2 linked regions of the Arabidopsis thaliana genome follow. The protein of the gene in region 2 interacts with the protein of the main gene of each other region in a pairwise test. Each region holds a gene or a part of one and is shown on either strand. Other genes may lie near its edges.

Evidence for each region. The genes of interacting proteins can lie anywhere in the genome.
Region 1: the proteins of AGL36 (region 2) and ERF2 interact in a two-hybrid assay, tested with the Arabidopsis thaliana proteins (one large-scale study listed by BioGRID).

The regions. Positions count from the first base shown.
Region 1 is NC_003076.8:19,171,123-19,174,849, reverse strand, and holds ERF2 (ethylene responsive element binding factor 2), read left to right. Parts: upstream 1-1,893; 5' UTR 1,894-2,095; coding exon 2,096-2,827; 3' UTR 2,828-3,207; downstream 3,208-3,727.
Region 2 is NC_003076.8:9,341,675-9,345,433, forward strand, and holds AGL36 (AGAMOUS-like 36), read left to right. Parts: upstream 1-2,110; coding exon 2,111-3,211; 3' UTR 3,212-3,337; downstream 3,338-3,759. UniProt on the Arabidopsis thaliana protein: Probable transcription factor.

The DNA of each region.
Region 1 (3,727 bases), 9.8 Mb from region 2:
CCCTGAAGAGGGTGGTCGCAAGACGGGCGAGAGAGGGCTCTCGCAGCTTCATATCTTGTCTTGACAGTATAATTACCGAACTTAGTCAATGTCCAACTATATCCATCTCGCGAGACATTTAGCCTCGGTTTTATCCCTAAAATCAAAGTAATATCCTCGGGGGGGGGGGGGGGGGAACAACTCCCGTAGACGATCTACTTTCCACCTCTTCGTCTGGAAGTCAATCAAGGTGTTAACGTAGACCAAAGGGTTCCTATCCATAATTAAACCTTTCGGTGGTCTTGGAGGAGTATCTGGGATCCATGGATAATAGGCGACTATATGTTCTAGGAGGTTGCACAAAGAAAAAGTTTGTTCTAGCATAATATGAGAATAGATGATTTACGTCTTAAAATTAAACTATCACCGACTAATAATAAGCATAATAAGATGTGACTAAAACAACTAAGATTAAATGATGATCATCATGACATTTGAAAATTATATAAACCCAAATCATAAAGAAACAAGAAACAATATGAAAACAATATATTCCTAAGATACAGCAAAAGTGGATGTATGTGAAACGTCCAAAGAGATAATTTGAGGATTAGCTGCGGAGTTCAAACATAAAAACGAAAGTTCAACTACTACTTTCATATTTAATTAATCAAAGTATTTAATTGCAAAACGGAACTTAACCTGATTGGATCCATAAGTATATTATCATTATTCTTTTACCAAAGAAATAAATAAATTCGTTTTTAATCATATTTAGAGCTATTCATGTTCTTGTAATCAATTAAAAGTTTCATTTGTTTACAAACATAACATCATATATACACTCAAAAACAGCAAAATTGAAATAACCATCTGACCAGAATGATGTGTTTGAACCAAAACTACTCTTGGAATCGAATATAGATTAAAAATATATAGTAAACTAATTTTTAGAGAGTTTGAGTGACTATTGACTAAACTATGCTTCCGTGAAGGAGGTCCCTTTTGCAAGTGGACATACGTGAGAGACCCACCATTAATTTGTCTTTGAGCCTTATTGTTGTTATTGACTTTTAGCCAATAGAAAGAGATGGAAATTCAATAATTATCCACAAAATTCCAAATCATTGGTGTACAAAAAGATCTAAGGCTGTTATATTTTCAAAAAAGAAAGAAAAGAAATGCAACAAATATGGATTAAACTGTGGTTTGTAAATTGAGCTTTGCATGAAAACTTTATCACTATGATTTCACTACTCCATATTTATTGACTAAAGTGGCACTAATGAATTTCTTAATCATGAAATCTTGTATCAAAAAGTACTAAAATAAACATGACATTGGCAATTAGGAAAATTCTAAATTAGAAATTAGTAAAAATGAAAGGTGAAAGGGAAAGATGATGATATGAATTGGTTGGTGACCAGGAGAAATGTATCCCGATTTTTGCAGACACTTTCAGTGTCCCCATTCATATAATTATGGCCCACCTCGTTAAGATTTTTCATTCACCACCATAACAAGATCTAAGCTTAGATTTCATGTAATTAAACATATAATATACTTGCCAATACTATCTAATAAAGTATACTTAAGCAAAAATTATTACTCTAGTGTAAGGCGATGAAATATAAGTTTAGTTGAAAATTTATGTCGATATAACAAAGTATAATGAATTAAGACCTTGGTTTTCGATTAACAAACTAATTAAACACTAGTTTTGCCTAATAAAACCGGGAATCGTATTCAAAACCGAACGACAAAACAAGGGACAAGTTGAGAGACAAAACCAAATCAGCATCTTTCTTCCAGAAATGTCATGACCACATGACGTCATCTTGACCCTTCTTCATTGTGATATCTGTGGATAAAGCGCACGTGTTTAATTCACGAACCTTCGTAGTAACGAAAAATCCACAACTTTCATATTTTTTAATTACCCACTAAACTAAAACAAATTTGGAAAAACATGAAAAACTTTTTCTTTTTTTCCAGGTTCGTGAACCTCGTACCCTCTATATAAACCTCTTAACCACCTTCCACATAGAAAAAAGTTCAGATATTTGATAAATCAATCAACAAAACAAAAAAAACTCTATAGTTAGTTTCTCTGAAAATGTACGGACAGTGCAATATAGAATCCGACTACGCTTTGTTGGAGTCGATAACACGTCACTTGCTAGGAGGAGGAGGAGAGAACGAGCTGCGACTCAATGAGTCAACACCGAGTTCGTGTTTCACAGAGAGTTGGGGAGGTTTGCCATTGAAAGAGAATGATTCAGAGGACATGTTGGTGTACGGACTCCTCAAAGATGCCTTCCATTTTGACACGTCATCATCGGACTTGAGCTGTCTTTTTGATTTTCCGGCGGTTAAAGTCGAGCCAACTGAGAACTTTACGGCGATGGAGGAGAAACCAAAGAAAGCGATACCGGTTACGGAGACGGCAGTGAAGGCGAAGCATTACAGAGGAGTGAGGCAGAGACCGTGGGGGAAATTCGCGGCGGAGATACGTGATCCGGCGAAGAATGGAGCTAGGGTTTGGTTAGGGACGTTTGAGACGGCGGAAGATGCGGCTTTAGCTTACGATATAGCTGCTTTTAGGATGCGTGGTTCCCGCGCTTTATTGAATTTTCCGTTGAGGGTTAATTCCGGTGAACCTGACCCGGTTCGGATCACGTCTAAGAGATCTTCTTCGTCGTCGTCGTCGTCGTCCTCTTCTACGTCGTCGTCTGAAAACGGGAAGTTGAAACGAAGGAGAAAAGCAGAGAATCTGACGTCGGAGGTGGTGCAGGTGAAGTGTGAGGTTGGTGATGAGACACGTGTTGATGAGTTATTGGTTTCATAAGTTTGATCTTGTGTGTTTTGTAGTTGAATAGTTTTGCTATAAATGTTGAGGCACCAAGTAAAAGTGTTCCCGTGATGTAAATTAGTTACTAAACAGAGCCATATATCTTCAATCCATAAACAAAATAGACACTTTAATAAAGCCGTGAGTGTTAATTTTTCAATCTAGTTTCATTTCTTACATGACATTCACGGCTTTATTAAAGTATTACACCATATCCCCTAATACAATCTCTTAACTCAATTTGAGTTCTATATTGCTAAGTAGCCAAAACTTGATCGAAGAGGTAACAATTACTAAAACCAAAATCCATCAACAGTAGCGCGACAATAAATAATAACCTATCTATTTTAGATTTTTTTTTGTTGTAAATGTTGTGAGCTTAAGTGTGTAATCACTTGTAAATGTTTCTGTTTGATACTCTTGAGAAGATGAAGCTGTCTAAGGTCGACAAGCAAAGGCTCTGCTAGAGAAAATTCATTTAAGCAATCAATTTATATCTTTGATTTTTGAAGCACATAAAACTTTGAACCCAATAAAGGTTTAGAATGAGAAAAACCGTGTCTCGCCTAGAGGATTCAGTATTGAAACCCAGTTATTCTCTTAATGGACTAAGAACGAATATTCTTTTCATTAATGGGCTTTAACCAACGAGAGCTGATATTTATTATTGTTAATGGGCTTAACCAGTTTGTAGCCCACGGATAGATAAAGAGAGGACCAGAACACAGTTAAATAGCACCCGCCGCAGAGAATAATAACTCAGGAAGGGTTTATAGATTAGGTTTTTAAGTCGCACCTCTCTCTCTCACTGCCGCATCTTTTCTTAGGGTTCTTGTTTCGCTATCTCTTAAACACAAACAGCTCTGTCCGAATAATCTCTCTTCAAGTACCTCTTTT
Region 2 (3,759 bases):
CTTCATTATTAGCTGGTAAAATTTATTTCTAAAAGTGCAATGAAAAATATATAATATCGGGTCAATGCCCCAAAAGATATAATATCCACATGATTTTATAAATTATAATTTTACAAATAAAAAAAAAGACAAAAATCATATTTATGTATTAAACTCTTGATTTTACCCAAATTATGCATATATTTTCTAAATAAAAATAATTTTCATAAATAATTTTTTATATGTCATTATTAATAAATAAATACATGTAGTCATATTAATGTATTAAACTCTTGATTTTACCCTTATATGTAGTCCATTTTTAAAAATACTCTTTCTCTTGAGCAAAACAAACAAATTACCCACATCTAATGAGAAACATGTAATTTATGAACTGAAATTTTCCCGCCGAATTTATTTTTTCCCTGACAAAAAAAAATTCTACCAAAATATTTTTTTTTCCGCCAAATTTTTTTCCCGCCATTTTTTTTTCTCTGTAACAAATGTTTTTCCAGCTAAAAACATGCATTTAAAAATCTTTGTAAAGGTTTTTAAAAGCTTTGTAAATTTGTTAAAAACCCTTGTAAATCATTTTAAAACCTATTAAAATCTTTATAAAAATTTTAAATATATATGTAAATACTTTAAAAACCCGTTTTAAAACCTTTTGTTTTACATTTTAAAACCTTTTACAATAATTTTAAAAGATTTACAAGAGTGTTTAAAAGATTTACAAGGATTTTAAAAACATTTGTAAATGTTGTAAAAATCCTTGTTAAATCCTTTAAAACCCTTGAAAACTATTTAAAAACCATATAAAAATCTTTTAAAAACCCTTAATAATTTTTGAACCATTTTAAACTCTTATGAACCCCTTACAAAATGTTTTAAAAACCCTTGTAAACCATTAAAAATCTTTTAAAATCTCATGTAAACCCTTTAATAATTTTTGAACCATTTTAAAGTTCTAGAAAATTATTTTAAAAATCTTTGTTAATCTTTAAAAACACATGTAAATCTTTTAAAACCCTTTTCAAATCTTTTAAAATCACTTGTAAATCTTTTAAAACCCTATAAAAATCTTTTAAAATCCTTTGTAAATCTTTTTAAAACCTTTTACACTTTATAAAAATCTCTTAAAATCCCTTATAAATATTTTAAAACCCTTTTACACATTTTAAAAATCTATTAAAATCCATTGTAAATCTATTTCCTGCGAAATTTGTTTTTTGCGGGAAAAATCTTTTTTAAAACAAATATTATGGCAGAAAATGTTTTTTTGAAATTTTTTGGCGGAAAATTTTTTTCAGAATATTATAGGCGGGAAAAATCAATATTTCATTTTTTTACCTAAAACATATTTTAAATAGGGGTAAATAGTCATTAAAAATTAAAAAAGGGTATAAATGAAAATAACAAATAAGAAAGGGCAATACTGAAAAGGGATTGTGTTGAAAGGGCATTCATACCAATTATTCAAAGTTTTTGGCGTTTCTGTGAGATGTACTTTGCATATTTTCCAAGTTGTTTGCCCATTCTAAAAATTTATTTGTATGATTCAGAGTACATCTTTAAATTACTGTAGATAACAAACTTTCTGAAATTTACTTTAGATAACAAACTTTAGAGTAATTTCTAGCTTACCACAATTCTATATACATTGACAATATATTACTGTATTTTAAAAGTACAATCACTTAAAACTATTGCAAAACTTCATATTTTAAGAACAAAGTAAGCTAGAAATTATTCTTAGTAAAAAGAAACAATGAGAGTAAGAGAAATTAATTCGCCAAAATAAAAACAAAACTTAGAAATACAAAATATTATATTACATGCCCCCTCGTATTACATGGATAGATTTTTTTCTTTTTTTTGTCATCAGATATTATTTAGGATCAGACGTACCAAACTTTGGATAAGAAAAAATATTTTTATATAGATAATAATGAATTACCTGGTCAATTAATTGATAAGAGATTTCCTGGATGTTATTTAGAATTAATTAGTCCACCAAAGTGATAAGAATCCTAGTGTCTATAGAATCACCTTTCTTTGCTATATAAACATCCTTTGAGCAAACAAATTAAACAAACCACACAAAACAAAAAAAAAAAACAAATTGATGGGGATGAAGAAGGTGAAGCTATCTTTGATAGCTAATGAAAGATCAAGGAAAACATCCTTCATAAAGAGGAAAGACGGGATTTTTAAGAAACTCCACGAGTTGTCAACTCTGTGTGGTGTCCAAGCTTGTGCTCTCATCTACAGTCCATTCATACCGGTTCCAGAGTCATGGCCGTCAAGGGAAGGTGCTAAAAAGGTGGCTTCAAGGTTTCTGGAGATGCCGCCGACAGCCCGAACCAAGAAGATGATGGATCAAGAGACTTACCTTATGGAGAGGATTACCAAAGCAAAAGAGCAACTAAAGAACCTGGCTGCTGAGAACCGAGAGTTACAGGTTAGACGATTTATGTTTGATTGTGTTGAAGGCAAAATGTCCCAGTATCATTATGATGCAAAAGACCTTCAAGATTTGCAATCTTGTATAAATCTATATCTCGATCAGCTTAACGGAAGGATCGAGTCCATTAAAGAAAATGGTGAGTCGTTGTTGTCTTCCGTCTCTCCTTTTCCTACTAGAATTGGTGTTGACGAAATTGGTGATGAGTCATTTTCCGACTCTCCTATTCATGCTACAACTGGGGTTGTAGATACTCTTAATGCTACCAATCCTCATGTTCTTACGGGCGATATGACTCCTTTTCTTGATGCGGACGCAACTGCGGTAACTGCTTCCAGTAGATTTTTTGATCATATTCCATATGAAAATATGAATATGAGTCAAAATCTGCATGAACCGTTTCAACACCTTGTTCCTACTAACGTTTGTGATTTTTTTCAAAATCAGAATATGAATCAGGTTCAATACCAGGCTCCTAATAATCTGTTTAATCAGATTCAACGAGAATTCTACAACATAAATTTGAATCTGAATTTGAATCTGAATTCGAATCAGTATCTGAATCAACAACAATCATTCATGAATCCGATGGTGGAACAACATATGAATCATGTTGGAGGGCGTGAAAGCATTCCTTTCGTGGACGGAAACTGCTACAACTACCATCAACTACCATCCAATCAACTACCAGCCGTTGATCATGCTTCCACCAGTTACATGCCTTCCACCACCGGTGTCTATGATCCTTACATCAACAATAATCTCTAATCACAAAAGAGGGAGAAGAACTAGTCTAAGTGTTCAATTGTTTGTATTTGTGTTTTCTTCATTTCGAAAGACAAAAACTAATGTTGTTTATTAATAATGGTTAAAGGATCTCTTTTTAACTTAATTATGTATTTTGATTATTAAGTAATGTTTTGCCCCCAAAAAAAGATTATTAAGTAATGTATTTGCTCACCGTAGTGTGGGAAACTTTAATTGTAGAATTTTATTTCGAAAATTTAAGATGTGACTGGTACAATATTTAGACGGAAATTTTCAATTGAATTCTTTTAGGACCCATACATAGAGAATAATTGTTTTCCCCAGCAATTTAAAGTAAGAACTATTATTCTTTGAATCAATTATCGATTTGCCATTTTTTGGGATGGTATCTGTGGATTTTGTCCTTTTCTGAATAGTTTGTAGATTTTGCCTTTTTCACACTACGAAAATATGATTTAACATGTGTTTTATTCGTTATGTTTTGGTTTAGTCGGTTGTGCTTGTTCTTAGGATTTAATATTTTGTATAAACTACGTATTTTTACCAAA